Linked DNA regions of Macaca fascicularis. The protein of the gene in region 2 interacts with the protein of the main gene of each other region in a pairwise test. Links are inferred from orthologs where the notes say so. Each region holds a gene or a part of one and is shown on either strand. Other genes may lie near its edges. The genes, in order: NUDT12 and BLMH.

Region 1 (15,860 bases), on a different chromosome or scaffold from region 2:
AAGCTGTTGGATAAATGGCAGTTTAAATCATTTTTACCCCCACTGACAGAGATGATTTCAGCTCACCGCTACCTGAGAGTAGTAATAAATATTTACAAAGTACTCTACTGAGATGTTTGGAACATCACACTGCTCCAACAGACAATTTCAGGCTAGAGTGAAATGGGCAGGATAAAAAGTAAACAAAAATAAACTTCAGACTAGATCACTTGTCCACTTACTCTGTTTTAAAATAAACAAGAGTACCAGTTTCAATTTCTACTGCTGGGTGCAACTTCCACATTACTAAAAATAAAACCTCCTCACAAGTTAAGTGGTTAGAATGGTCTTAATCCTCCACAGGTGAGGCAAAGAATTTGTCTGGTATCGTTCCCATGAGCCCAGGAATGGAAAGCCAGGGCATTTTTTCATTCTTTATGCTGAGTTTGTCTGTCTCTTATCAGGCTTCTAGTGAGAAAGAAAAATGTTTCCATTAGGAGAAAGTTTCCCCCCGCCCCAACTTAAAATCTGTTTAAAATTTTACAGCAGACCCACTATTCTGGAGAGTTATCACTATACCAGGAGTTGCAAAAAGGAGGAATATCTATTGTCTACTGCTATGACTTTGACTCCTTAGCAAGAAAAAAAAAAGTCTTGAAGAAATAAAGAAAAGTTAAAAGTATCACTTCCACCAATGAATACAACTATATATAGATATCCTTCAGTAAAAATAGAATGAGTAATTTGCCTCTTGGCCCAATTAACATGTCCAAACATTCATCCCATAGTTGAAAATTCATTTTTTTTTCCTCAAACAAGAATTCAGGCTGCTGATTACCTGTTTTCCCTATGCCATCCTTATTATTTAAATGCCCTTTCTTTTGACCATTTCTAGTTTTGGGCAAAAAAAATGGAATTACTTGAAAATCTATCATATATAATAAACTTCACTCCCTCTTTCAGAAATTCTTTTGAATTCTATTCTGATTGTCCTGGAAGGATGGTAGGTTTTTAGTATTTAGTTTATGTTCACAAGTAATTCCTCCAGTCAGTGACTAATTTTGAAGGTGCAGGTACTTGGCAACATTATTACCCTTACCCCAAAATACAGCCTGTCTCTCATCTGCTCCTGTGGGGTTAAAGCTCTCAGGCATCTGCCCCCACTTACCAAGCACCCTTCCTGCACAGAATATCAAACTTCCCTGCCTTTTCCAACCTCTTGACAGCTACTCTTGCTTAGCCTCAGGACCTAGATCTTAAATATTTGAAGACAGAAACTCCTACTTTTGCACATTGGATTTACTTTGTCCTACACATTTTTTTTTCTAATAAACAGCCCGTTTTAACCTCAACAAATACACACATTTCACTCAATAGCTACCACCCATCTTTCCCTCCCTCCCTCCCTCTCTCTCCCAGAACCTAACAACTGGGTCTCAGCCCTAATAAAATTTGCACTGTGAAAATTTTACTCTAAATAATTAATGGATTTGTTTTATGGAACATTTTCACTTAATATTTTATTGTATCCATGTTAGCAACACAGTTCCAGGACCAGCCATCTATTGTTGTTATATGTGGGATTTAATTTAGTTTATTTCGTTTATTAACAAACTTATTCTTCCTCCTTCCATCTCATGGTCTCTCCCTTTGTTATTCTATTATTTTCTGTCTTCAGCCAAATCCCTAACCGGGTCTTTAAAAGAATTTCTCATTTTTCCAACTGAATGAAAGATGTGGGCTTCTAACTCTTCATGTTCCATCAACATGTGAAAATGTCAAAATCCAACAATTAGCAATATTAGACAAGTAATAAAAATAATACCAGATATATTGCTTTAAACCTGAAGAGCAAAAACTATTGACTTTATATATGTATGTATGTATATGTAAGTCTGTTTGTATTTGACCCCAAACTATATTTTAAGATTCAAATGAAAGTTTTAAGTCTCCCAAACACAGACACTTTAAAAAGGCTTCTGCATTTTTTGTACACGTCATCAATTCGAAACAGGTTAAGAACTGAAATTAGGCTTTACTCATTTTTCAAGAGACTTGTCAAAACATGTTAAACACACACACACAAAACAAAATCAATTTTAAAAATTTATTATGACATTCATTTCCAGTAGAATACACTCATGGCACTACCACGTCTACTATTCTTTTGAATTGGCCATTCCTTCTATTTACATAGCTTTTCACCTCTCAGAGGTTGGCAATTTAAAGTTGTTATTAAAACAATAATTTACTTTGATGTTGATTTTTCCCCAAGTAAGGATTAAATATCTAAAACAAAACGTATAACCACACTTGTTGATACTTTATATTCCACTTTCCTATCTTAACATTATGACAACCTGGAATTTTACAATGTAATCTTAGAATCTGTAAGTATTAAAAGTACATTTGGAGTAAAACTGAATTTCAAGACGCTCTGTTTCATAATAATCAAGGTACATTATTTTCCATATACTTATGTAGCTCAAATTTTATTATGTATCTAAATGTCCTGTGTCAGTTTTAATTTGGTTTAAATTCTTGATACCAATAAGCCTTCATCAATTCCTAAGAAAATCACAGCTCATTAGTAAAATGAAGTTTTATCTGACAGTTATTATTTAAGTTAAATAAACATTAAGTATCTAAAATTTTAATTAACAATATTTTGTAAGTTAAATTTATTCTTATCATTCCTTCTTTTAATTCTGTCTATTATATTTTTAGTAATAGCTTCTAGTTCCTATTACAGGGAGAATCGTCCTCTGCATTATATAGTACAGACTGCTGTAATTAATTAGTTATGTAACTTTCACTAATTAAGTAAATTCACCTTTCACAATTTCTTTTTCCTTATCTATAAAATAAGGAAAGTCAATTTCATATATTATCCTTAAGGTCTCTTCCAGCTCTAGCATTCATTAGTAAAGATCCAAATTATACAAATTTTGATATTCATAAACTATAATAGCTATTAAATCAATTTCAAAATAGCCTTATAAAATGTGACTTTCTATGTTGCAAAATTGTGAACTACTATGTTTTGCTTTCTCTAGAATCTTACTGATTCAGCTCTAAAATATACTTATTTTATCAAGGCTTCTTAGAATATGTTGAAATAAGGTCAAAGCCAAGATATATTTGAGCATAATAAATATTATTGGTAATGATTATACGATTTTTTGCTAATGCAGATACATCACTCATCACGAAATGAAATAAAGCCAATGTTTTCAATTAAATATGTAAATCTGCCTGGGACTTATTTAATATCCGACCTTTCAGGAGAATTCCTTTCAAGTTTAATTTCAGTGCAAAACCAGAGAATCTTGATTTGTCTTAATAACAGCTTTAGGTATAAGTGACATATAAGTAGATGTGTCAATTAATTTTAGGTTTAAAAGAGAGGTCCTAGATATAATAGTATGCTTTTCTCCTTCCAGGAGGGTGTGGTACTGAAATCTCTATTAGAGTTAATTATTAAATCTCTATTAGAGTTAATTATTAAAATAAGAAAATTCTTAACACTGGTCAAATTAGACAAGTGGCTACACTATAACACCTCCACTGCTAGAACAATGGAACCCCCAGGAAAGAGCAAGTGGAACTACAATGGGGAGATCAGCAAAAACCAGATACTGATAACTTAAAGATAACAAAAGGACTAAAAAATCAATACAAGCTAATACAAGCTAAAAATTCATTAAAACTTTTTGTTTCATTTCTCAGATCAAGAACTTTCGTCATCAATTTAATGCTTATAAGAGGCACTGAAATTTACGCACATTTCTAGAACATACTTCTTTCCAACACGATGTCTCTTATTAGAAAAATGGTTTTCTGAGATAAAACTGAAGAACAATGAAGAAAAAGTTCAGAGAAGGCTGACCCAGATTTAACATAATCTGAGGCAATATTGTAATTTGTAAAAATATGAATTTGTGATTAAGACAGAAGAACATTTTGAAAATATTTCCAAACCCAACATGATATTCTGTGTTGTGACACTCAAGAGTACTGAATAATCTCTAATATCACTTAAGGAATGAGTGTTATTAGAAATTATTAAATAATACCCAAAGCTTAGTTCTTAGATTTAGAGATTGGGATTTATTCTAATCCAGTGTTTGATTAATTGATGTGCAATAGCTCGGCTTGGTGGCACAAAGAATGCCTGCTGCTTCCCTTTGGTCAGAACATCCAGGACCTAAAATACACCATAACAGAATGCATTAGGATTTCAAAGCTGTCATATTTAAATACTATTCCCATACTTACATAATTCAATTAAAATGTGATGAGTTTTACGGGGAATAACAGTAGAAAGTGACAACATCCATATTTACAGGCAAAGTTTTTTTTTTTTTTTTTGGAACAAGGTCTTGCACTCTGCCACCCAGACTGGAGTTGCAGTGGTACAATCATGGCTCACTGCAGCTTTGACCTCCTGGGCTCAGGCGATCCTCCTGCCTCAGCCTCCCAAGTAGCTGGTACCATAGATGCACACCACCACACCTGGCTAATTTTTTAAAAATTATCTGTACAGACAGGGTCTCCCTATGTTGCCCAGGCTAGTCTCAAACTCCTGGGTTCAATCAAGCTTCCTGCCTTGGCCTCCCAAAGTGCTAAGATTACAGGTATAAGCCACCACGCCCAGCCTCAACATGCAAAATTTAGTACAGCATTTTTAACTCCTTCACTGAGTTAGTGATTCAATTTTTAAAATGTTCCAGAAAGACACATTCCCTTATGAAAAATGACATCATGAAAAAGCAAAATGTATGCTCCACACTTAATTTCTAAGTGAAGCCAACTTTTGAAACAGATTCTTTTTTATAAAATTCATAAGCAATAATCTAAATTCCATCTTTTTGGATTAAGCATAGAATAAAATTAATTTTATGCAGGCAAAGTCAGAAAGAATTTCAGGTCAGATGAGTAATCCATCTTTCAATATATTATTTAGGAATGGCATTTTAAAAAGTTATTTTAAGTGTATGTTTATTATACAGTTATGTCATTCTTGGCCTTAAGTACATTTTAAGATGAATAAAAACTTTCTGAAAATTTTAAGCACTTACTGATGTTTTTTGAGAGCCACTTGTTTTAATGTTATAAACTAAAATATAAAAGGTTTGAGAATATTCCTGTTTCTCATCTATGAATTAATGTTTAAGCCCACTGATAGGAACTATTAATGTGTAGGAATGGAATCTAAAATTCGAAATGGTACAGAATCATCTCTACTAGAAAAATCTCACATATAGATCACATTAGTGAAACATACTCCTCTTGTATGGAATTACTAATTACCATGTAATCCATGCATAATGAGAGGGCCAAAGCCATCATTCAACTTGCTGAAAATATGCATCCTTGTTCTGTGCCCAAACCAATACAGTCAGGGAACAATCAATAGAAGAAGGAAATTAAATTGAACTTTACCTGTTCTCTAGTGAACCAGCGGGCATCCTCTATTTCATTCTTGTCAACTTTAATTTCTGTAGACACTGCCACAGCTAAGCAACCAATCATTAAGGAGGAAGGCATTGGCCATGGTTGACAAGAGACATACTGAACATGGCCAACTTTGACTCCACTTTCCTCTTCTACTTCTCTTCTAACAGCATCTTCTATTGTCTCTCCTAATGAAATGGAGCAAAAGAACAAGTTGCTGATGAACATGCGCTGGACATTTTGTGTCCTGAATCGTTCAAACATCTGGAAATCACTTTGGACAGAAACCCAATTCAAATAATCAGAAAGCAGAAGCCTAAAACTAGACTGTAATTGAAGAAAACATAAATTTTTAAAGTACATGACCACATAAAGAATATGAAAATGCCAACAATAAACTTTTCATTTTTTTAAAGATCCAAATTTGTCAGTTACATTTTAAAAATAATGATATCATCTAAAAATATCCAACACCTAATATTGGTTAAACACTATGCAAACACTTTATATCTGATCTCATTTATATATTGTCCACTAAATAGATATAAATTACATGATTTTTACAAATAGCTCTTTCACACTAAAATTTTCAAACTCGTTTTATTATGTTGTCAAACAATTATTGCAGGTAACTCTTTTCAGGTCATGAAAAGATTAAAAACTACATAAGATGAAATTTAATACTTTTTCTAAGCAATTGTTTTCCTCTAGATGACTGCTGACTCTGCCATGATAAAATAAACTGATGCCTATAAATGTACTTTATATTTCTAATTTGTTGGATTTAAGAATTAGAATAGGTGAAATCATTTCTAAGTAAAATCATTTTTAACTAAATCTGGAAGTTTAGAAACATTTTGCTAAATATTGCTGTATTTAGCAAAATATATTTTAAATATAGCTTTCTATTTCAAATAGATTGATAAATTTCCTACACGAAAATTAACAACTTACAATAATCAAGAGAACACATATAGTAAAAATATAATTATAGACTAGCATAAGATATTTGCAAAACTATAACAAAAGATTCGCATATGCTACATATTTAAGAATTCTTAAAATGAATAAAAAAGGATAAACAATGAAAACAAAATTAGGTAAAAGACAAACATCTAAAATTCAGAGAAATGAAAACTGAATGCCTAATACACATTTGAAAAAAGATGTTCCATCGGCAAGAAAATGAAAACGAAAACGCGATACAATTTCATTCACCCCTCAGAATGACAAATTTAAAAGTCTGAAAAATCCTAACTTGGTGAAGATGTGGAATAATGGAACATTTCATGTTCTGCTGGAGGAAGTATAAATTGGCAGAAGCACTTTAGAGACAACTTGGCAATATACAGAAAAGGGTAAGATGCTCATATCACATAAGCTGGTGGTGCTACTCTGTGTATACAATCTAGATAACTCTTGCAAGTGTGCACAAGTATAAAAATATTAATTGCAGTGTTGTTTGTAATAAGAACTTTAAATGTCCAATCAGCAGAAGGGATAAATAATGGAATATTCATGAATGGATTACTACCCAGCAGTTAAGACAATGACAATGACCTAGAACTACTAAAGACATTATAGGGATTTGCAGCAAGAACTCAGAAGCCAACATGCCCAGGTTTAAATCCCTTCCCTATCACTTATTCGCTGTTTGAACTTGAGCAGATTATTTCGTCCCTATGCCTTAGTGCCCCATCTGCAAAATCACTGTAATAGTGTATTTTATATGGTTGTATGAAGATCATACAATATATATATATATAACACAGCCTGATACTGTTTTATATATATGATATGATCCTTCTCCAGAACACAGCCTGATACTGTGTGTTTACTATTATCTAGTAATGCAAATATTGGAAACGGAAATTGAGATAAAACATTTATTACTTAGACATATTCACTCCACAAACATTTACTGACCTACTACATGTGCTATAGGCATGTGCTATGAGGGTTTCATACATAGCAGTGGATAAAATAAAGTCCCTGTGCTAATGAAACTTATATTCTTGAGACAGCAGATAATAAATTAATAAGTACATACGTAGTATATTAGGTGATGATGAGTGCCCTAGGGAAAAATCAGGCAGGATGATAGGGATTGTGAATGCAGGGTATGGGGGCTAACTAATGTATCTGGGGCAATTAAGTAAGGCCTCTTCGAAAAGGTGACAGTTGAGTCTAGTACAGAAGGAAATGAGGTGGAACCTAGATACCTGGGTCAAGAGCAACATATCAAAGAGCAAATACTGAATTTTTAACAAAGCAGATCCAATTACTAGGAAAAGCAATTTATGTAATTCTCATATAAAACATAAGAATTACATGTTTAAACTATTATTGAAATTGTATCATGTTTAAAATACTTTAACCCAGTTTTATAACATAATTTATCAGAGATTATTAAATGTTATCTAAACTTTGTATTTTGAAATCATAAGTTAAATAGAAATTATTAAGAAAAGGCTTACCAGGCTCAATAAATCCAGCAAGGCAAGTAAACATGCCTGGGGGAAATCTTTTCTGCCTGCCTAAAAGACATCTGGTCCCATCTGGATGAATAACTTGCATGATTACTACTGGATCTGTTAAAAAAAAAACATATATCTGAATGGCAGGAAACACGAATTTAGATTCATGTGCAAACACTGTCTGATAGGATAAAATAAAGGTGTATCTCCTATAGGGATAGAACCCTCGTCTGGCTGTAAGAGATTGCTTCTTTCTGCCCTAATGTAGCTGACAACAGAGTATCTCAGCGAAATTGTACAGAATAGTGTCAATAAGCTAGCAGAAGACCATTTTTGTCCTTCTTCCCCCAATCTTAACAGCAACATTTATTCTGTACTTATGGATGTTAGGTGTATTGTTATTTTAATGAGAAAAACTTTGAGTAGGTAATACATGCAAATAAGGAAAATTCAAATTTTACCACTGTAAATAATTTCCCTCTCCCATCCTAACCCTTAACAAAATGTTTTTAAAAGCTAATATGGTTCTATGATTAGATTTAAGTTGTTAAATAAAATTTAAATAGCAGTTCATCTCTCTAGAAGTTACTAATTCAGCAAATTCTTCTCACTATATCATGACTAAGAACTAGGAATTAAATGTAAAAAGGTCTTGAGCAACAAAAACAGATGTCACTAAGCCATGTTATTTTTCTCCCCAGAGGCCTCCTCAGGTGTTGCTGAGCCTACCTATCGTTTTTTCACACAGTTTTAAAGGTCTGGGTTATCAGATTTCCAAACCTACGGCAGACTCAAAGCAGCAATTAGAAGAGAGAATACAGGCAGACATTAACAGTAGTGAAAAGCTAGCCAGGCTGTACTGCTATGGTAATGCCTCAAACAGGCAAGAAATTGTTGGGGCTTTTTCTCCATTAAGTGGAGCCACACTGGTTGACTTTTGAAATCATGTATCATAACATATCAGGTTCATAGTGAGTAACCCAAAGTTAAGAAATGGCTATTGAATGTACCATGTTTTTTTACTTAAAAATCATGAAAGTATGTTACACTTTAACACTTACATTCTTAATGGTTAGACATGTTTTCCATAAAAAGGAAAACTTTTCAGCTCCTCACAAATTTTCTCTTTCCAGAATATCCTATTCCCCAAGATCCAGGTGGCGGAGATATAAAATAAAGGGCTTACCAACTCTTGGGTATGATGTATTATGAACGCCATTGAGACTAGGACAGTCTTCTTTTAAACATACTCTCTTATATCCACCTTCTTCAATTTTAGTTCCATTTCCACAGGTTGGGCAAAACTTATATCGACTGTGCCAGGCAAGAACAGATCTTGCTTGAGCTACAACCCCTTCAAAAAAAAAAAAAAAAAAAAAAAAGCACAAAAATTTAATTACGTGATAAAATCAATATATAAGTAAAATATTCTCAAGTTACAATAAGAATAGCTATGTGATCAGGTATTTTAGTGTTTCTATTTTTATAACGTGTATTTTTCTTTTAAAGTAAAAGATTTAATTTTCTGGATGACAAAAATTAGATTCAAGTTTAGTTTGAATAAAATATAACTCTCATATAAGATAGAAGTACTAACATCTATCTTACATCATACATTAGATCAGGCTTTTAGTGTAGGTGATTTTAAAAGTTGGGGTATTCATGATTCTAGTGTAGAGTAAGTTTACAAACAGTGATTTTACAATAGTGATTTTAATAAAAATATACCACAAAAGCAGTTCTTGAGATTTGTATTCTAAAGGAAATATTACCAGGAAACCGTAGGAGGCTATCACCACTCTCTTGGTGACTATGCCATTGATGGTCGACGCTGTGTGGAACAGAACCTATTTTCAACGGGAGACTGCATGTACACAGTATAAAACACACTGCATTTACTATGTTCATGGTTAACTTTGTTTACCAAAAAATGCCTAATAGGATAAATCTTAAAATATACACACTTTAGCTATAGGTTTTACTCTGGTAGTTCAAAAAAGAATTAATACGACCTGGCCAGAAATATTACAGTTGAGGCAATAAGACTAGAAGTGCTGTATTTTAAATGCTTGACAAAGTCACCTCCCTAAAATACATTATTTGGTCTACAGATTTTTGAAATGAACAAAATAATAATTAAAATTCTAACATCATTTAAACTGGGAAAAATAAACATAAAACAGTTGTAATGAACAGACAACGTTACATTTTTGCCTGCTACCTAACCTTATAATATGTAACATGCTAGGGTATTTACATTATTTCAGAATCATCACAAAAAGAAAAGCTAACATTTATTGAGTACTTACAATGTTCCAAGCATCATGCAAGGAATATTTATAGATTATCCTATGTTTAGAGCAACCCTAAAGAAGATAGGTACTATTATTATTTTCTGTAGGAGTAAACTGAGTCACAGAAAAGTTAAGTCTGTATAAAGTTATAGAGCAAGTGAGTTAAAAGGCCTCAGTTTTCCTACAAGGGAAAAAAGCAAGCAACTAGCTCATTTATCATATCTTTTTTATCTTAAAGTGATATATACATGTCTAAAGAAAGTAAATTTTCTTTAAAAAGCTTGACGATTTCTACACAGGTGTGTAGAATAAAACATACCGCATCACACTTTGAGACAGAGATATTTAAGCAGTCTCTGGCAGGACCTCTATCACCTAAGGGAATGTGGTCACTGACAAGTGACCTCTTCCTAACTTCCCATTAACTTATCAATCTACCATAATCTGGCTTCCGTTCCTTTCACTCCACTGACATTTCTCTTGTCAAGTTCATCAATAGCTTTATATTACCAAAGACAAAGATTCTTTTAAAAAAAAAAAAAAGAAAAAAAAAAGCCCCACAAAACTTTGCCTTCATCTTACTCAAGTTCATAACAGCATTCAATACATTTGACCACTCCCTCCTGGAAATATGCTGCTGTCTTGGTTTCCCTGAGGCCTCTTGGTCTCTTCCTACCTCATGGCCACACTGTTTCCAACTCCTTTGATGGCTCTCCTGCTTGCAGCTTACCTTTAAATGTAGGGGGATTCAGGTCTTACTCTGAGAGTTTTTCTTGCTTACTCTCAACTCTCCAAGTAATCTCAGTAGTTTTTTGGGATTTAAGTATCTTTGTGTTGATGACTGCCATATGGGTATTTCCAGTTCAGACATCTGATTCTAATGTCCATTTCTAAAACTTAGTATGCCCAAAAGTAAACTCTTGATTTATTTACTCCAAGTTTATCCTGCTTTCCTTGCTCTACCCATCATATTATTAATGGTATCACTATATACCAAATTATTAAAGTCTCTAGCCTAGCAGTCATTCTTAATCTTTTCCTTCATTATTATATATCCCATATCCAATAGCAAAGACCATTGATTTTATCTCCAAAATTTATCTTGCATATACCCTCTTTCCTCCATTTCTACTATCAGTACCTTAATTCATGCCATATTACCACCATCTCTCACTTACAAGGGTCTCAACCTACAGATCAAGCCCTATCCATTCTACCTCGAGAATATCTCAAATTCTCCCTTTGTCTCCATCTCCACTGCCTCCATTCTAACTCAAGCCATTGCAATCTCTTACTTGGGCAATTGTAATACTCAATTACTTCTTAACAAGACTCCCAACTTTCACACTTACTTACATGTGTGCAATTTATGCTCTATGATGCAGTCAGTGTGCAGTGCAGTGTTTTGTTTAAAAAAAAAAAATTTAAATACAGGTCAGGTTACATTTAAATGGACTTTAGAATCAAACTCTAATTTCTTACCATGCCATAAAAAGCCCCAGCAACAGAATACAAAACAAATCAAAACAGTCAAGGTCTTTGCCATCATGTTCTGTGTGTAGCAGGAACTCAAGAATTATTCACTGAGGAATCAAATGAGATCATCCTGCACCAGTGTTAATTCTCAGGAAATCAGTCTGGGCTGATTAGAACTACTAACTGCCCAGGAGAGTAGTCCCCTACGGTGAGAACTTTAGGAGGTTTCTGATGAAGGCAGTCTAATTTCACTGCTCATTGGAACAAAAGTGGCCCTGGAAAGTGCAAATACATACAATTCCAACTCAATTCTAAAAACCAGATTTTACCAACAAAAAGCAGCATTCATTTCTTACCAGCTTCTTTTTCTTTCAATTGCAGAAGGGCTGGCATAGGAGGATGAAGAAAGTAACAATTTTCATGTCTTTGCTTGAATTCTTCAGCAGCAATAGGATCTATACCTAGAGCAAACCAGGCAACCAATCCATCTTCCTCCTCTCTCGGGACTTCACCAGCATAATTAAGTAGCTTGTCTTTCATTTCAAGTTCCACTCCAAGAAAAATCAAGGTGATCTTCTCAGGCTGGGCCAAATAATCCTTTATATCTTTGTAGTTCAGCTGACAAAGCCTAACTTCTGGTTGTTGGAAACTTTCTTTATTGCCACCTAGAGTAACCAAGGGATTTAAATCTGAGAAAAGAATAAAAACTGTGGCTGGATGGCTTTCTTTAGCTAGTAGCCAGTCAGCATTATTTCTCTTTTCACTCTTCCGGTCCAGTAGTGTTTTGCTAAAATAATTTTCACATTCTTCCACTTCATTCGTTAGGAACCAAGGCTTCTTCCCACCTTTAGCAGTAGCTAGTAAATTAGCTATATGCTTATAACCCCAAAATACAGCAATATCCAGTGCAGTCTGCCTTGATTTATTGACAATTGATCTGTCACACCTACAGATGGAAGAAAAAATGGGGAGAAAAAGTAAAATAGGAAGTAAACACTTTCTCCTGTATTTGTTTCAATAAAATATTTCCAGATGCACATTCAAGTCCTTCTTTTTAATGATTACATAGATTTTTTTTCTTGTGTTACATAGTTTACTATTGGGAGGATTAGAACAATAATCATAAATGACAAAAAGAGACAGTGGATACTTACACTTTCTGGATAATTACTCACAAAATAAAACAGCATTAAGTTTTATGTACTATAAAGAGATACCAAAATTCTACAAGAAGTCCTTGGTAGTCATAGTGAGATCTGCATTTTCTATTTGGGAGAAAAGTTTATTATTAGACTCCTCATAAATTTGCTTTGCTATAAAGTAATAATTTCTCAATGAAAAAGGTTACAAAGTTTTAAGTTAGAAAAATTGTGCTACATGTTTACATAAATTAGCCAATGAGTTATTTAGTAGTTCAACAATATAAATATGGAAACAAGCAAAATTTAAAAGTAAATATGTAACAAAGAAATTAAACCACAAACCCTTTCAGGTGGTACAGCCTAAAATGTTTACCCTTTCTCAAGCAGAAATTGGACAATCTCTGGGTGCCCATTCCTTGCTGCATACATTAAAGCAGTCCAGCCATTTTCAGAAGTTTCATTGAGAAGAGATGGAGAATGACTGAGTATTCCTGTTAACTTGGCAATATCTCCTTCAGCAGCTGAACAGTGAAACTGGGTAACTATTTCTTGCTTTGGACTTCTTTTTACAGAAGACATTTCTTCCTTAAAAGAAGGAAAATAGGGGGAAAAAGCTTATTTGCAACTGCTTTTTTGTCAATGAATGATATTGTTAGAATAGCAGCAATGGTTTCCAAGGCAATATACTCTTCAAAAGGCAATCATTAAACAGCATACATTTCAATTTCAAAATGTTATCAGTTTAGAATTACAAATACAATGAAATTTATATGCTCATGGGAGTTACACAAAATAATGTATAAAGAGCTTTGACAGCACAGACTAGGGGGCCATATCCTTAGAGGGGGAACCAGGTAACATATTACATAAGGATGAAGTATTTAGGGTACACCAGAGGGGACTTCATGATGAGGTGGGGACATGACAGGGAGAACATTAAAATAGATGGAAGTAAAGGCAGAGATTTTCTAAGTTTCACATGAAAACAGTTTATTGTTTGACCTTGCACAATTAATTCTGTAATCCATCTAGGATCTATTTTTGTTCATGGCGTGAGGTAGGGGTCAAGACACTTTTTTACCCAATGCATAATCCATATGATTCGGCATTATTCTTGACATTTCCATCTTTGTTGTACTGTACTGAGACAAATATTGTCACAAATCAGATGACCATATTATTTTTGGTTTTATTATTGGACAGTTCTGTTGATCACTTTGTTGTCCTTGAATCAGAGCAGCTTTTAAAACTCATTAACTTTATCTACTTTGTCCCTCTTTTCAGTGGTGGAAAACCCCCCCAAATAACTGCCCCACACATCTTAAACATTGCCTGATCATGGACTGCAGATAGTAGAGCACAAACTGAGCTTCTTTTTTTTTTTCTTTTTTGGTGGGGGGGATGGTGAAAATGGTTAATGATTCAACTGTCTGTGAATTTCTCAAAGTATTTTTTTAAGGTATAATTTTTCTTTCTATGAAATGCTATTAAGAAAAGATTTGGGATTCTAACTACATTGCTATTATTCTAAGCAATAAGATTTTTAAGCTGAAAAGACAGAAATGTTATAGCCCATAGTTTTTGATAGCTGCTGTCTCCTGGGTTCTGAAAGGGCAATCTGGCTGATGAATTGCATAGCTGGAATAGTATGAACAAAATTTAGGGAAAACAAGGAGTAAAGATTAATTTTCTTATTTTGGAGCTGTTCACCTTTCCTATTTGAGTCTTTCTGCTACTTATAAATAGGTTAAAACAGCTCAGAGTCATGGAAACACTTGGATAAAACCTAATAGTGGAAATCTGTTTAGAAATTACCAGAAGTAATATCTACATGAGAGAATAATTGACTTACTCTAGAATTTACTTTGCTATTCTTTTCATATTGAAATTTCTAAATACTTTTAAAATATTATGCATAACAAAAGCTTTAACTTTTCAGGACTTTATTTTGAAGCACTGCTGTACAGCTCCTGTACTGATCTCCCTTCAAATTGTCTTTCTCTTAAATTTATTTTACAAAAATCCATATTATAGTTTTTTCAGCTAGGTTTAGTTTGAATAATATTTCACTGTTTCATGTTCCAGGGTCACGGTCACTCCCTCACATTCTCACAGGCTGCGCTAGGTGACTGCAAAATTGTCCTTCAAAAGTACAGCGTCATTCACTACCTCCAGGGCAATGCTTATGCATATGCTATTCTGTGGAGATAGAAAGTGGAAAGTGTACACTTTTCCCTCTTGCTTTCTCAGCAGAAAAGCCATCTAGAGACAGTACCATTATTCATTCCAGAGAAGCACATAAACTCTAACACCCAATTCTACTGTTTGATTTACTTTTTCAATTCTCATTGGCAGGTTATAGAAGGTAAGGATTTGAAGGCAGAATAAAGTGCTGCCCTTGTTTTCCAAGAAGCTCAAGGACTATTCCGAGAAATCATTTAAAAGAATATTAGATTTAAAGGGACATACATTTTTAACAAACCAACATCCACTTTTACTGACGTGTAACCCGGGGCCCATGACTTGCGCATGCTCTCATAGACCGAGAGGGACAGGACAGGACATCAAATATTGCTCTGTCACTGAAGTCACTGACCATCAATTAACGAATTTCATCCACTCCCTGGGCACTCAAGACCAATTAAGCGCCACCTGTGCACGGTCTCGGAAAATTGTAACACGCCTTGAGATATTTTACTTTCTTGCCACTACTGTTAGGTTCCTTCTTTCGAGGTGAAATCACTCCCTAAGTAGCGCTTCCTTTTCCCCATCTCAGCTAGGGCAGGAAACTCTACTAACCTCAGGACCACCTGCGCCTCCGCCCTGTCCCGAGAGTCCCTGCAAATGCGTCTGTGGTTCCTGCGCCTGCGCCCACCAACCCACTACGAGGCTGCGCCACACTACCCTGCAGGGCCACTCAGAGCAGCGCGGGAACCAAAGAGCCCAGGGAACTGGTCACTGTCCCCAGAGGGGACACTGAGACGACTAACTCGCCGCTGCTTCTACTAACCCAAAGGTGACCACAGTAGAGGCGA
Region 2 (16,640 bases):
ATATCTGCCCTAATTCTTATCAGCCAATTACCATGCTCTACAAATGATGAGGACATCAATCTTAGACACATCATTAGTTCAAAGATCATTAAGCAAACATCAAAGGCCAAAAGGATGCTTATGATCTACAGCAAGTATTATCTAGGCCCTTTCCCATAACTGTTTGCAGAACCCTCATTCCTACTATGCCCCCATCTTTTTTTTTTTTTTTTTTTTGAGATGGAGTCTCATTCTGTTGCCAGGCTGGAATGAGCGGCATGATCTCGGCTCACTGCAATCTCCGCCTCCTCGGTTCAAGTGATTCCCGCCTCAAACTCCCAAGTAGCTGGGACTACAAGCGCACACCACCACACCTGGCTAATTTTTTGTATTTTAGTAGAGACGGGGTTTCACCATGTTGGCCAGGATGGTCTTGATCTCCTGACCCTGTGATCCGCCCGCCTCAGCCTCCCAAAGTGCTGAGATTGCAAGCGTGAGCCACTGTGCCTGGCCCCCACCATCTTAATCTAACCCTAAATAAAGGCAAATTATGTAGCAGATATAGCCTCTGCAAGACAGATTCCCCAAAAATCCAATAAGGAAAATATTTCAGATCCTGAACTGAATCTCAGACAGGTTTACCTAGGATCACAGACTGTTAAGTAAAAGAGTCAGAATTTAAACCCATGTATGTCTGACTCCAAAGCCTATTTTTTTCCTACTATACTAAGATGCCTCTCTTCCATAAGAATTTAAGAGATAAAAATGAGATTATTTAAATGCATTTGGTAAATGAAATTTCTGCATTCGTCCACTCAACAAATATTTAAGAAACAGCTATTGTGTCAAGCACTAGGCTAGACATGTTAAACATGAACGGAGTCTTTAGAGCTTAAGGAACTTGTCCCAGGATATATGGCTATTAAGTAATGAGAAGACTAGAACTCAGATAGCCTGACTTCAGAGATTACACCCTCCACTACTCCACTATGCTGCGTCTCTAAAATTTAAAGGAAAACAGGAGTGAAACACTGCGTGTTTTCCACCGCAGTGGAAAAAAAAGTAGGCCATTTTAACTCCATAGTCTTGAAACGAAGCCTAATTAAGGGCCCACTGGCTGACAAACATTTATTCTTTCCTCAAACCAATTTCAGTTTTATGCATATTCATTCTGGACATGGATAGTATTAATAATAAAGATTCTTAACTGTCTTGATCATAAATAATATTACCACCACATATTTTAGTGATTTTTACATTTTCCAAAATGTTTTTACATACATTATTTTAACAAATATAACCATCAATAACTCCCTGTCTTTATTTCTACAGAAAGAAGCCAAATGTTCTGGCATCTATCCAACATCCCTTATTATCTCTGCCTTTCTAGCTTAATTTGCTACCCATCATACTGACAAAAGTTATGTTTCAGCCACACGATTCCCTGAAGGTTCTATCTCTGTTCATGGCACTGTTCATATAATTCCTTTTGCCTAGAATGGTCTTGTTATCTACCTGGTAAATTCTGACTACTCTTTCAAGAGCTATCTTCCCTATGAAACCTTCAGCTCACTGAGCTAGTCACTTCCTGCTCTATGACCACCAAATCAGTTTTACACATCTAGCATAGGATTTATTCTAATTATAGATGTGTTTTTCCCAAGAGACTGAGCTCTTTAAGAGCAGTGACTATGTCTTTCTCACCTGTTTCCTCAGTGCCAAACTCATAGAGCGTATTTAGCATTTATGAAATGATAAAAGAATGATTATACAGACCACTCAACCAGCCATTAGAAAACCTAAGCCCAAGTCCTATACTAAAAGGCAAAGTAAGTTTTAATCTCAGTTTTTTCAGTGTAAAATAAGTAATTTTCAATTCAACTAAACGTTCGTTGCCATGACTAAAGCTTCCTAATCATTAGTTTAATAGATGGGAATATTCTGAGAGTTGTTTAGAAGGGTCACAAAAAAATCCAAATTTTGTTATTACCTCCTCCATCATGACATCCTGTGTGGCTGAGATTTCTCCTTTGGTTGCTCCACTGTGTACCAGGTTCCGTAGTCGTATACAGAATTCTCTCATCTATGACAGAAACTTATTCAGCACTCCAACAGTTACCCAAATTCAATCTAAATGAGTCTCATAGACCAACGCAAGTTCTATTTTGAAATATAACTCAGGCCAGACCCGTGGCAAAGTTCATAAAGGCAAATGTGTTTTTCTTCAACTTGTCCACTTAAACACATAGCTAAAAATGCTTTCCATAAGGAGCAAAGGCATACATTATTCCTCCAAAATACTAGATGGAACTGCTCCTGCTCTGCAAACATCATATAAAGATGTTTTATGTGTCTGGGCATGGGGAAAACACATGATTACATAATGCCTATCACTCAGAAAAAGCAGGAGACAATTATGCCACTATGTTACTCTAGTAGATTTTTACTTAAGAATTTCAATAGCTGTCCATTTTTCCTTCTCTGCCAACTGACTATGACTATGGTTATGCCAGCCCCCAATAAAATTTTCATTTTTTCATTTCATTTTTTCACTAAGATAAAGGTGAGTCTGAAATTTAACCGCAGTGCTAAAGAAGCTGTTGCTCTCACTTCAAATGGAATCAAATGTCATATTATTAATGATCTTTTAGCCTTTCGATAAAAATCCCCAGCGTTTCCAGGGTGGAAAATAGCCCACTTCTAATGTTGGGGAGACACACCTATAGTTTATTTTAAAATGTAATCTTTCTCCCAGGGAGATGAAAAATCCAATTTTGGCCTCATGGATTAGGACAGCAGATTCTGGCAACTCCTAGTTCTCAAAAACGAGGCCTGGCTAGAAAAGCAGCATCCCCGTAGGAATTATAATTCTCCTCGGGAAAACTGGTTATGTAGAGAAGACACAATGATTCATTAAGATAATGAAGCAAATAAAAAGCAGTTCAATAACTACAACAAATCTTTAGTGGGTGGATAAACCACATTGATGTGGTCTGGGGAAGTCTCAGAACACAGCACACTCTTTAAGGAATCTTGCGAATAGTTCTTTTGGTTTTACTAGCACATAAAGCAGTTCTAGTCCACCTCCACTGGAACCAAGTGAGAGACACAGCATCCTGAGTGCTTGCGGCCAGTATTAATTGGACATGGGACTTTATTTCCTAACTATCCCCCTAAGAAGACATTAACATCAACAGAAATAAAAGTGGAAGTTTTTTAAAAGCAAAAACCCTCTAATATTAATTATTTTTAAAGTTATTATGTAGCTACATTGCTTTTGACAGACATTGACATCAATAGTTATCTTGTACACAAACAGTATACACTGAAATACCCAGGAACCCCTTCTAAAAAGTAAGTTTTAAGGAAAGTACACTAAACTCAATCCAACCCTGCTTCATATATTGTACCTTGTGATTCAGAATATCATTCATCCTTCTGGTTGCCTCTGTTGTATAAGATTCAGGAAAGCATTTCTTAGGGATAACACCATATTTTTCTAAAAGAAAACAAATTTCAGTGTTAAATAAGGTAAAAGATTAGAAACCCTGGCAAAAATAGTGATTGTTTCAAAAAATAGGCCATATTTTGCTGGCTTAATTCAGAAAATCTTATACTTCATATTATTAAGCAGGGTTTTTTTTTTTTGTTTTTTTTTAAACAGAGTTTTGCTCTGTCACTCAGACTGGAGTGCTGTGACACAATCCTGGCCCACTGCAGCCTTGAATTCCCAGGCTTGGCCTCCTGAGTAGCACAACTATGGCGCATGATACCATGTGCAGCTAATTTTTTTATTTTCTGTAGAGACAGGGTCCCACTATGTTACCCAGGCTGGTACTGAACTCCTGGGCTTGAGCAATCCTCCTGCCCTGGTCCCCCAAAGTGCTAGGATTACATGCCTGAGCCACCTTACTCAGCCTAAGTAGGTTTTTAATGTGCATATTTATCTGTCTATGTTAGAATTAATTCTATTCTTTTTATCTACTATGCTTTGTCATTTCTCAGCCTTTTGGTCAAGATGAAGTGTATCTATCATACTTTTGTGAAGTGCTCAGCATGATGAGATTTCCCCAAAAGATGTTTTGAAGACATTTTAAAACAGCTACAGTTTTCACGTGTTTCCTGATTACATCAATGGAGAAGAAAACAATTTTTTCATGGAAAATTAGTTCTACTTAATACTACCTTTTCTTCTCCAACCCATCCTTCACAGTAGCTCTCTCCTTACTCCTCATTTAAGAAAGGCACTTTATAGGTGAGAATGTGAACTAAAGGTTCTCAGAAATAACGATATAACCTTCTTGGAGACCAATTCTACTCTGTACATAACCACCAAAGAAATGGCCCATGTCTAACTACAGGCTTACTTAATCACGCTGAGTTTCAGTTCCATTAAAGAAAGAACTTTTACCAACAATATTGACAAGCATATCCCATTGGCCACCATCATTTGCAGGGTTCATAAGCAAAAACTGCACCAGCCTCCCATCCTCAGGCTCCTTTCTCTGGGCTGTGTCCACAAAAGCGTTCAAGAAGAAGTAACAGCGCTCAACCTAAAGAGTAAAGAAAGTTAAATAAAATTAAAAGAAAAAAGAGTTAGTAATTTTACTGGCATTATCAACAGAATGGGAGTCTTGGAATTACTAAGGAATCAACATAATAGTTTTTTGTTTTATTTTTAAAAACATGAACCCTTCGTGAATTTACATGTCATCCTTGTATAGAGGTCATGCTAATCTTTTCTGTATCACTCCAGTTTGGGTATTTGGGATGCTGAAACAAGAACCATAAGTATTTTTAAACTAAAATTGGTAAATAAACATCAGTATCTGACTTCATCAGAATATGTGAAGTTTCTTATACTTGTGTATGTATTCCAATATATTGCGTATATGTGTACAGTGTTTACATTTCAATGCTAAAACAAAACCTGATATCTAAAGTCTTTAATCAATAAACATTTAATGAGCACCTATGTAATATATATTTTGTTTATTTATTTATTTATTTTTAGACAGGGTCATGCTCTGTTGCCTAGACTGCAGTGCAGTGGTACAATCTCACTGCAGCCTCAACCTCCTGGGCTCAAGCAATCCTCCTACCTCAGCCTCCCAAGTAGCTGGGGGGACAGGTGTGCACCACCACACCTGGCTAATTTTTGTATTTCTTGTAGAGACGGGGTTTTGCCACGTCCAGACTGGTCTCGAATTCCTGGGCTCAAGCAATCCTCTCACCTCAGCCTCCCAAAGTGCTGGGATTACAAGCATGAGCCACTAAACCAGGCCAGTAATATACATTTTGAAGATTAGGAAATGGAATATGGCCAGGAGTGGTGGCTCACACCTGTAATCCCAGCACTTTAGGAGGCCAAGGCAGGCAGATCACTTGAGGTCAGGAGTTCGAGACCAGTCTGGCCAACATGGTGAAATGCCCTGTCTCTACTAAAAATACAAGAATTAGCTGGGCATGGTGGCATGTGCCTGTGATTCCAGCTACTTGGGAGGTTGAGTTGAGAGGACGGCTTGAACCCGGGAGGCAGAGGTTACAGTGAGCTGAGATTGTGCCACAGCCCTCTAGCCCAGGTGGCAGGGTGAGACGGTCTCAAAAAATAAATAAATAAATACATAAATAAATAAACAACGAAATAACATTATTTACTGTTTTTCAGACAAGTACTTGAGAAGGGAAATTAGGTCCTAGAAAAGAACAAATAACCTAAAAAGATGTTAAAAAGGGAGATACACTGAATTGAATATTGAATATAAAATTTAAAATTTTAAATAGACAAGCAAAATATAGCCACCTACCAACCAAAAACAGTTCTTGCCTTTGAAAGAGTCAACTTTTGATACTCTGGAAGTCAGAATAAAAGGTGTCTCACCCATTATGAAAGGGCAGGGTATAAATGGAAAAGCAACAAATGAAGAGGCAGTCTCTACCAACGCTGAAATCAATACAAAAAGAATCTTGCCAGATCCGTCCCCTACCTTGTCCCAAAAAAAGAGGTAAGATTGACTAAACTCAAATTCTTCAATATTTAATTTTTTCATGAATGGAAGCCTCATAACATTCAGACAAGAAAAGATCCAGCATCGCCCTGAAACAAGAAAGCACATCAAGAAATTATGAGGGTTCACACAGACTGCACTGCTCCAACTGTTATTTCCCACCAATGAACTCATGACAAGATCTGGACAATTCAGAAAGAGTAAATCAGAAAGAGCAGAAAAATTAAAAACAAAACAAAACAAGAAAGGTGGTAATTATTATTAGCAATATATGTGCAAAGGTTTAATATCTTTAACACAAAAACACTCTTTACATATAAAATAAAGAATCCATTACATATCACCCAAGAAAATCACATTAGAAAAAGAAACATAGCTAGAAAACTGTGAACAGAGACCACAAATAGATCATTCAGTGGCCAAAAAAGATACAAATGACAAAGAAGCAGTTGTAAAAGTTAATGATAAAGACACCTGTTAAGTGGGGAAAGATCATTTCTTATTTCATTTGGGGAAATAAACATCATTATCAATCTCGATAGGAATCTAAATAGGCATAAAATACCTGAATGCAATTTGGCAGTACCTAGCAAAAGCTTTAAAAAGTCCCTACCCATCCGGCGGTGGCTCACGCCTGTAATCCCAGCACTCTGGGAGGCTGAGGCGGGTGGATCACCTGAGGTCAGGAGTTCGAGACCAGCCTGGCCAACATAGTGAAACCCTGTCTCTACTAAAAATACAAAAATTAGCCAGGCAAGGTGGCGAGCACCTGTAATCCCAGCTACTCAGGAGGCTGAGGCAGGAGAATCACTTGAACCCAGGAAGCAGATGTTGCAGTGAGCCGAGATGGTGCCACTGTACTCCAGCCTGGGTGACCGAGGGAGACTCCGTCTCAAAAAATAAATAAAAAATAAAAAACCCCTACCCTTTAATCTGGAATATGCGTTCCAATATGCTTCAATATAGGGTGATTGTATATGCTTCCGTATAGGCTGACCTTAACGTAAGTCAATACTCCATTCTCCTAGTGATAAGCCAAAAAAGTGGAGATATTTCCCTAACTGGATTTTATAAACACTTCGAAACATATAGGAATAGTAAATTGTCTACCCATAATATTTTAATAAATTTTTTTTAGGAGACAGAGTCTCACTCTGTCACTCAGGCTGGAGTGCAGTGGTGCAATCTCAGCTCGCTGCAAACTTTGCCTCCTGATTCTCATGTCTCAGCCTCCTGAGTAGCTGGAATTACAGATGCGTGTCACCACACCCACCTAATTTCTGTACTTTTAGTAGAGCCAGGGTTTTGCCATGTTGGCAAGGTTGGTCTCGAACTCTTGACCTCAAGTGATCCATCTGCCTCCGTCTCCCAGAGTGCTAGGATTACAGGCATGAGCCACAGCACCCGGCCAATATTTTATAAATTTAAATATATACTTAAAATCATGTTAACATAAATTGATTTAGAAGTACTGTTTTTCCTACTTCACATTTCATTTCCACACTGATTCATACTCTTCACATGTACCTAGCCATCAGTGTCTGTGCCATCATTAGATCCACTCTTTCAGTCAGCACACGTCATCTCTCTTCCTCTAGTATGTTTGAGTCAATGTTTTGAATCCATGCATGATGCTGTCCCTGAAAATTCTATGCCAAGCATCAACTATATAATCAGATTCTTCATTTGTCCTGTATGTGTATAATCACAAACTCCATTATCACCACTTCCTGTTCTGACTTACATGATCTTTAAAAGGTCTATTTACAATGATATGCAACATCAATTTATTCTAATTTGTCGCCTTTTAAAAAAAGCTGATTCAATCAAAGGATCTCTGTAAGCATGCAAAGGTAGTACGCATCTGAGGTTTTTCAGAGTAACGTCTTCTCCAAATTGTACTCTACTTCAAAATAAAGTAACTGAGAGCGCCCATTAGAAAAATCCTTTAAGGTCTTAAATATAGGGAAATTATCTCTTTTCTGAAGGAAAATTCTGAGGGAAAATCTTTGACTTGTATTGGGTATAACTTTTTTACTAATATGAAAATACGTTTATAATATATTGGTAAGTGAAAAAGATAGGTAGCTTACATAACAATGCATAAGGTATCAATCCACATTACACACACACACACACACACACACACACACACACACAGACCTGACAAATATACAGGAAAAATATTCACTTGGTATTTGCAAATATTCTACATTAAACAAAAATAATTTTGTAACAAGAAGAAAACTCTAGTTAACTACAGTGTTTTTTGAAAGTCACCAGTGCCTTACTATTAGTCTTTACCTTAGATTTACCTGTATGTCACCTCTCTTCTATATGCTATATATTTCTAGTAGAAGGGATCTGGATGCACTGGTGATGTGAAAACTGCATGAAAATAAACTACATAGCTCACATGCTATTTGGATCTTTTGTATATAAAAGTGACACTGCAAAATGTGTAAGACCTGACCTGTTCCCTAACAAGTCACTGCAATCTAAACTATGTAGGACCACTGTGACATTACTAACTGTATCATCTGTAGCCTGAGAGCCCATACCACTCCAAGCACTTTCTTCTAGAGCAAAACATTAATTATTGTAAGGTCTTGATTTTTTCCTTAACATTTAAAAAATCAACTTTATTCAGGTAAAATGTACATACAATAAAATGTACTCAAGTTAAATGTGTGCTTTGTGAGTTCTGACCGACTCTAAACAAGCACTGATGTGCTTCCTGTCCATATAGATAGACTGGGGGTCTTCAAGTAGATAAAGACTTTAAAAAAATCCTTTTAGTACAATTTTGTTGTGAGAATGTGCTCCTTATTTAGATTGTTGGATATCCAATCTTTCACTATACCTGTTTTTTTTCTGAGAGTGGTGCTAGAAAGCAGATAGCAAAACGAGACTTCTTGACTAGTAAGGCATGAGAATAGAACTTTTTTCTGTATTACAAATTGATCTACTGGTGGGAACTGAGCCCATCAGCACATTAGCGTCAACTGTAACCAAGAAACAAATTTAAAAGTAACATCTGATGACATTTTAATGTAATTACATTGTGTCTTTTCTATTTCATAGTATAGGGCCTTCAGGGCGTTTCTGGGGAGTCCTCCAAGGATATGAACCTTTTCACATATTCTGTTTTGTGACCAAAACCATGTATCTCCAAAACATGGGCTACAAACCACAAAACATCGGAACATAATATAGTCAATTACACTCAAACGTATACTCGTGGACATGTCACTTTAGTATTCTAACCACATGTGCTAACAAGCCACAGAACACCAAAACAAACCACATTGGTAATGTTCTTAGACCTGCCTGTACCTGTGCCTCACTCTCTAAGAATTTACAACCAGTTCTTTCAGTACGAATTTAAGACCACTCTCAAGTAAGACACCAAAATGGGACGCTGTCAGGAAGGTCAAGGAAAGTATGGGAGAAGTTGAAGCCCACACCTGAGCTCTTCTGGTTGGTGACTGGCTTGCCCTCCTGGGACACCGCGTGCTGGAACACATGCTGCGCGCGCTGCACCGTGGCCCGCTTCAGACAGATGTCCAGCAGGTCGTGGGTGGTCCCGACATTCTGGGCAAGTACGAACTGGGAATCAGAATTCAGTTTCTGTATCAGAGCAGCTACCTTCTCCGAATTCAGTCCTGTTGGGAGACCAAAACGGGATTTTAACGCCAAAAAGAGGGGGAAGAGGGCTGATCTGGGGCTCCCGCGTCCCGGATCTAACTTCGTAGGCGCATCCTGGGATGCCCGCTGCAGCGGGGAAGCCCATGAGCTGCATCCTCCTCCAAGGCGCTGTCTCCCTCCAGGCCGCTCCAGCTCGCCCCGAAAGCTCCCTCCCCGCCATCGCCCAGGGTCCCAGCCCCCGGCCTTCCCCGCCGCCGGGCCTCACGGGGACCGCGGAGCTCCTCCAGAGAGGACCGCGGCGGGGGACGGCGGCACCTCACCCGCGCTGCTCATGGCGCCCACGCTGCCCGGCGGCGTAACGGTAGCTTCCAGGGTCCTCGGGCGAGCGCCGGGGTTGCGCTGCGGCTCCCAGCCTAAAGCGCCGGACCTGCCTCTCGCACCCGGAGCGCCGGAAAAAGGAAACCGGCTTGGTGGTGGCGGCGGGGAGGCTGAGGCCGGGAGAAACGGGGTCCGCGGAGGGACAAAACTCCCCCCTCGCGTTGCTGACTCAGCGCCGTCGGGGCTGGCCCCGCCCGGGGGAGGGCCGACGGGGGCGGCCTCGCTGACGCGCTGGGTCAGCCAGTGCCGGGGGCCCGAGGCCGCGCCTGCCCCCGCGCACTACCGCGCAGTTGCTCTGCGAGGCAGGGCGGTGCCGGAGCCCTCGCCCCCTGGGTTCCCGCCTCCGGGCCGCGCGAGCGCCCTCTCGGTATCAGGCCCGCTCCGAGGAGGGAGGCTGACGTGTTCCCTACGGGCCCAGACCCCAAGTACTCTAGCATCGGGGAATCGTCCCCAGGAATCCTTGTGAGAAGCCAAAAGGGAGCTCGAGGCGGGAGGGAGGAGCTGAGAGGTCCCATAATTAAGCATCAGGCTTAGGACGGGTCACAAGGAATGCACCCGAAGGCTCTTCCTATAGGCTTCGTTTGCTGACCAATCACTGCATTCTCAATGGCAACTGGTTGCTTGGATTCTCGTCAGAAGCAAATAATTGTCTTTGAGGGGAAATTGGAACCAAGCTCTTTCCCACCCACTCCAAAGCTATTACCAGAGTTCTACAAATAGACAGCTGCTCATTTCAAGAACGCTACCCATTTGGTCTTAACGGAGTTCACGAGTGTCTCCTGTATAGTCCAGCATGTCCCGTTGGGTTTAACCTAGGAGGATGACAGAGGCTAGCCTTATGCCTCAATATTGTTTTGCCGAGTTCTCTACAAAACTAACTGATGCTTCCCCCTCTAGGCTTTCAAGATAACAGTTTCCCAAAGTTTTGAGATTGTAAAAACCTTGTTTTTGTTGATTCCGTTTTTCATGCCCCGAAATCTCAGCCCTTAGTAAGATGTTGGGCTAGAACCCAAAGAGGGTAAAACAAAAACACTGAAACCCTGTATCTGCTATTCAAAACAATAAGGTTTTGTGTGTGTGTGTGTGTAACCTAGAATCTAGGTCTTCTTAGGTTGAAAACCATCGCAGTTCTAAGGAACTCTGATATCTGGAAAAATCCATACTGAGGCACCAGTCATTCAAGAAAGCACAGTTTCTATGTCCCTAGAGAGACTCAGCTAAAAATTGGGGCTATAACATAGCAACTATTTTAAGTGGGCCCATCAACCATCGTATTCTGAGGTTCTTTCAATATCTGAAAAAGAAGAGGCTGAGAATTATACAGAAAGAAATCACTGGTCTTTTCACAAAATGATGTTCAAGCATCCTGTCCAATTCAAATAATAAATTTTTATTCAATATCTAACATGTACTATGCACTGGACAAACTACCGATGACATAGAGATGAACAAAACTTAATCTTGCCCTTAAGAAGCTCAGTGTAGTAGGAAAGAAATGCAAAACAACTTTTAGACTCTCTGTAGTAGCATACCAATAGCGCTGTAGACTGTAGAAGCAATGAGGAGAGCACCATCAATTAGGGCCAAAGGGTGCCTGAAAATAGAAGTGACAAGAGAGCATGATCTTGAAGAGTGGATGAGATTTTTATAAGTTAAAGAACAGGAGAAGGGCATTCAAGGCACCAACGAAGGCACAGAGAATAAAATCATGTTCGAGAAAGGGTGCATTATAATCGGATGTGGCTAAGAGCAAGGCATGTGTTGAGAGCAGAGGCAAGGTGTAGGACTGGAAAAGTGTGAGTTTGGGCCAAGATATAAAGGGTTTTATGTGCAATGCCTGAGCATCTAGACTTTATCTTATGGTTAATTAGAAGACAAAATGGGTTTTGAAACAAAGGAAAAACATGCTGAAGTCCGTGTAAAAAAAAAAAACCTGGTGGCAGTGGGGAGAGTGATTTGGAGGGGAGAGGCTCTGGAGATGGGGAAACTGCCTAGAAGGTTCTTCCAGTAGTGAACTTGGGAGAGGACAAAAGCCTTAAATTGCAGAAAGGGAAGAGGCATCGATAATCTTGAGGTTTTCAGCTGAATAAGAAAATGGAAGGTGGTATCATTAACCAAGAGAGGGCATACAGAAAAATAGGTATATTTGCATATTTGCAAGTGTGCAGATCTGAACTGAGTTTGGGCTATAGCAACATTAGGATGCCCACAGGACACCCAGGAAGAGAAGTTCAGGAGGTAGATGAAAAGATACCTAGAGATTAGGTGAGACACATAAGTTCAAGTTGGAACCATGGAAGTCAGCAGGGTTACAGAGGGAAACAGGATAGAGTGAGATAGAGATGAAGACCACAGATAGTGCCCTGGGCTGCAATGTGCAGTGGCACAGGGTGTTCATGGCACAAGGGCACCAGGCTGAGTGTGGTGAGTAGAGACTAAAATGCAGTCCAGGCTCTGCTTGCCAAGCCATGCACCCTGGCCAAGGCTGTGCACAGAGTATGATGTACCTTTCACTACTTTTTTTTTTTTTTTTTGAGACAGAGTCTCGCTGTGTAATCTCGGCTCACTGCAACCTCCACCTCCTGGGTTCAAGCAATTCTCCTGCCTCAGCCTCCTGAGTAGCTGGGATTACAGACACGCACCATTATACCCAGCTAATTTTTGTATTTTTAAGGGAGACGGGGTTTCACCATGTTGGCCAGGCTGGTCTTGAACCCCTGACCTCGTGATCCGCCCACCTCGGCCTCCCAAAGTGCTGGAATTAAAGGCGTGAGCCACCTTGCCCGGCCCCTTTCATGACTTCTTATAAGGATGCCATATGGGGGTAGCATTAGCTCTGAAAATGATAATGTTTAAAGTATAGATGAAAACAGAGGAGCCAGCAGAACTAGAAAGAGCAGTCAGAGAAGTAGGAGACCTGGGGAGTTACGTCCTGGAATCCCAGGAAGGCAAGGCGAGGACAGTGAATTGAACTAAAAGCTGCAGAGAGTCAAGTAAGATTGGTTTTGGCAACTGGGTTGCAGGCAACCTTAGAGAGGGCAGTTTTAGTGGAGGGGAAGGGTGGGCAGAAGCCACATTGTAGTGAGTTGAGAGGGAGGTAAATATTAGGGAAGCTCTTTGGGGAGAAAGGGTAAATTTATGTCTACTGGAGGATGAAAGGAAGGAATCAGTACAGATGAGAGATTAAATATACGTCAGAGAGGATACAATTGCAAGAGTAAGAGCTCAGGAGGAGATGGAATCACTGGGGAAGGTGGAGGGGACCAGTTTTACAGCTATTGCCACCCTTTCCATGCTGGCGATTACATTTCTCCACCCCATGCCCAGAGATTTCTATCATCATCTCTTTGCCAGCATCCTGCTCTGTCCTCATCATCAGGGTGGCACCCTTATTACCAGATTTCCACCCAGCAATTCACACCCATGCACTCAGCCCCCATGTGGGCATGGTGAGGAGGTACAGAATAAAACTGGTTTCCCAGTGGGTTGCCCCCAAATGACCCACCCAGGAAGACATTTCTCCAAGAAGAAAATTCTTATGTTCTAGCCCTCTTATTCCAGCCAGAAGAGATGTTGTACAGCCCAGTGACACCTCATGGGACAAGGCAACCAGAAACAGAATTCTAGTATGAAGTCCATAATATTAAAAAAGAAAATATTGCCTGTAATCCCAGCACTTTGGGAGGCTGAGGTGGGAGGATTCCTGCCTCGAGTTAAAGGCCAGGAGTTGAAGGCCAGCCTGGGCAACATAGTGAAATCCCACCACTACAAAAAAAGAAAGAAAAAAAGAAAAAATTTTAGAAAAAAATTAGCTGAATGTGGTGGCAGACACTTTTAGACCTAGCTACTCAGGAGGCTGAGATGGGAAGATCACTTGAGCTCAGGAGTTTGAGGGTGCAGTGAGCTATGATCACACTGCTGTACTCAGCTGTCTCTAAAAAGAAAGAAAAGAAAATCTTTATAAATCCTGTGAGGCAGCACCATCTGCCACAGCAGACATGCCTTCTGCCTGTTGCTTCCACACCACTCTACCAAGTTAAAGCAAACAAGGCCAGTCTCAAGGCAAATTGATTGCACACCCTGTGTCTCCTCCTTTGCTGTCCACCAATCTTTGACATGTGTTTGTCAACTACTTCTTTTTTTTTTTTCTTTGAGATGAAGTCTCGCTCTTGTCTCCCAGACTGGAATGCAATGGCGCGATCTCGACTCACTGCAATCTCTGCCTCCCAGGTTCAAGCAATTCTCCTGCTTCAGCCTCCCAAGTAGCTGGGATTACAGGCGCCTGGCCACTACACCCAGTTAATTTTTGTATTTTTAGTAGAGACGGGGTTTCACCATGTTGACCAGGCTGGTTTCAAACTCCTGACCTCAGGTGATCTGCCCACAAAGTGGGCAGACCTCAGGTGGCCTCCCAAAGTGCTGGGATTATAGGTGTGAGCCACTGTGCCTGGCCACAACTACTTCTATTTCGATAGAAAAGACCAGGTTTTTGTGTTGAATGGAAGTCTACGCTAGAATCTAACACAAACATTCTCCAATTCTATGAAACTCATTCATACTTAAGTGTTGTCCCACTTACTCCAAGATTTGCCTTGGTTAGAGAAGCCTTCTTATATTTCACCAGACGTGATAGTCAACTTCAGAGTTCACACACCGGTAACCTATTGGAGCAAATTCAGCTTTGAGACATTTTGTTTGGCCTGCATGGTAATTTAAAATTTTTGAGCTGGCCGGGGTAGTGGCTCATGCCTGGAATCCGAGCACTTTGGGAGGCTGAGGCAGGCAGAATGTTCAGGAGTTGGAGATCAGCCTGAGCAACATGGCATGGCAAAACCCTGTGTCTATAAAAAATACAAAAATTAGTCAGTGTGATAGTGTGCACCTTAGTCCCAGCTACTTGGCAGTCTGAGATGGGAAGGTTGCTTGAGTTTGGGAGGTTGAGGCTGCAGTGAGTCATGATCATGCCACTGCCCTCCAGCCTGGATGACAGAGCAAGACCCTGTCTTAGAAAAATTTTTTTGAGACAATATTTATAATTGGGAAGTTTTGGATACAAATCCGGGTAGCTGGCTTCTCTTTAAAATATTATTGTTGGCCAGGCGCGGTGGCTCAAGCCTGTAATCCCAGCACTTTGGGAGGCCGAGACGGGCGGATCACGAGGCCAGGAGATCGAGAGACGATCCCGGCTAACACGGTGAAACCCCGTCTCTACTAAAAGAATACAAAAAAAAAAAAAAACTAGCCGGGCGAGGTGGCGGGCGCCTGTAGTCCCAGCTACTCGGGAGGCTGAGGCAGGAGAATGGCGTAAACCCGGGAGGCGGAGCTTGCAGTGAGCTGAGATCCGGCCACTGCACTCCAGCCTGGGTGACAGAGCAAGACTCCGTCTCAAAAAAAAAAAATAAAATAAAATAAAATAAAATATTATTGTTTTGGCTGGGTGCAGTGGCTCATGCCTAGCATTTTGGGAGGTCGAGGAGACAGATCACTCGAATCCAGGAGTTTAAGACCAGCCTGGGCAACATGGTGAAACTGATAGGTAGTCAAATGCCTAAGCAGATAAGGGCGGGTCCCCAGCGAAATCACACCTTCAAGCCAAAGACAGTTTAAAGCCTGAAAGCCAAGCTACAAGTTTTGGATAAATCCATGGACTGAATTGAGAACCCCTCTTCCTGTTTGGCATGCTTTCCTGTGACTGAACCCCATCCTTCACATAATTTACATATACCTACCCTTCCCTAATTGATTTTTTACACTGTTGTGCCTTTGTTTTAGCCTTTTTGCCATACCTACAAACCAATCAGCACACACTGCCCTATTCTGAGCCCATAAAAGCCCTGGACCCAGCCACCCTGGGAGAGAGACCACCCAACTTCAGGTGGGGGACCATTCTCGCACTCCCTCTCTAGTGAGAGGTATTTCATCGCTCAATAAAACTCTTCTCCATCCTTCTCACCCTTTGATTGTCAGCGTAGTCTCATTCTTCTTGGACGTGGGACAAAAACTCAGGACCCTGCTGAATGCAAATACAAAAAGGCAATAACACTGTAGCCCTCTACCCCACATTGGCACCTAGCAGCTGCCCCCCACTAAGGCAGGGCTGAGCGAACCCCAGAGCCATGGGCTAGAGCAGGGCAGTGGGACTGACAGAATGGTTAACCCTAGACTAAAAGAGCTGTCAGTGTGTTGTAACACACTCTTCTGGGGCTTCAGGGTCACAGGCTTCCCTGTTTGGGCACCACCACGTTCCCCTCACCTGGATGCCAGAGTCCACCACAGGAGTCTCTTGCAACAGGCGTGGTTCAACCACAGGCACCACATGGAGCCTCTCCTATGCCAGCACTTGGAGCTACTGGCCAGACCCTGCACTTGCTCACCCACACATCCCTTCCCACTGGGGGCTGAGCGTGCAGTTGTGGTGCCTGTGGGATCTGTGCTGGAGCACAAATCAGGCACGGCCTATGGGCCGAGTAGGCTGAGTGCCTCCTGCAACAAACCCAGTGCCAAGCGAGGCCTGGGCAGGGGCATCACTGGCCAGAGGTCTCTGGCTGGCAAAGTGGCCGAGAAAAATCCTGTGTCGAAACCCATCTCTACCAAAAATACAAACATTAGCCAGGTGGTGGTAGTGTG

The links.
Region 1: the proteins of BLMH (region 2) and NUDT12 interact in binary tests that used the Homo sapiens proteins (3 or more experiments, as listed by UniProt). The two-hybrid records come from large-scale screens. The link is inferred for Macaca fascicularis from reciprocal best matches to the Homo sapiens genes BLMH and NUDT12.

The regions. Positions count from the first base shown.
Region 1 is NC_088380.1:109,943,055-109,958,914, forward strand, and holds the end of NUDT12 (NAD-capped RNA hydrolase NUDT12), read right to left. Parts: 5' UTR 15,836-15,860; exon of another isoform or gene 15,625-15,835; intron 13,411-15,624; 5' UTR 13,405-13,410; coding exon 13,199-13,404; coding exon of another isoform or gene 13,168-13,198; intron 12,630-13,167; coding exon 12,040-12,629; intron 9,268-12,039; coding exon 9,100-9,267; intron 8,028-9,099; coding exon 7,914-8,027; intron 5,625-7,913; coding exon 5,425-5,624; intron 4,187-5,424; coding exon 4,076-4,186; 3' UTR 3,831-4,075; coding exon of another isoform or gene 3,804-3,830; 3' UTR 2,073-3,803; downstream 1-2,072. UniProt on the Homo sapiens protein: mRNA decapping enzyme that specifically removes the nicotinamide adenine dinucleotide (NAD) cap from a subset of mRNAs by hydrolyzing the diphosphate linkage to produce nicotinamide mononucleotide (NMN) and 5' monophosphate mRNA.
Region 2 is NC_088390.1:35,796,050-35,812,689, forward strand, and holds the start of BLMH (bleomycin hydrolase), read right to left. Parts: upstream 10,100-16,640; 5' UTR 9,969-10,099; coding exon 9,956-9,968; intron 9,653-9,955; coding exon 9,455-9,652; intron 6,077-9,454; coding exon 5,967-6,076; intron 4,768-5,966; exon of another isoform or gene 4,659-4,767; intron 4,533-4,658; coding exon 4,391-4,532; intron 3,479-4,390; coding exon 3,390-3,478; intron 2,063-3,389; coding exon 1,970-2,062; intron 1-1,969. UniProt on the Homo sapiens protein: The normal physiological role of BLM hydrolase is unknown, but it catalyzes the inactivation of the antitumor drug BLM (a glycopeptide) by hydrolyzing the carboxamide bond of its B-aminoalaninamide moiety thus protecting normal and malignant cells from BLM toxicity.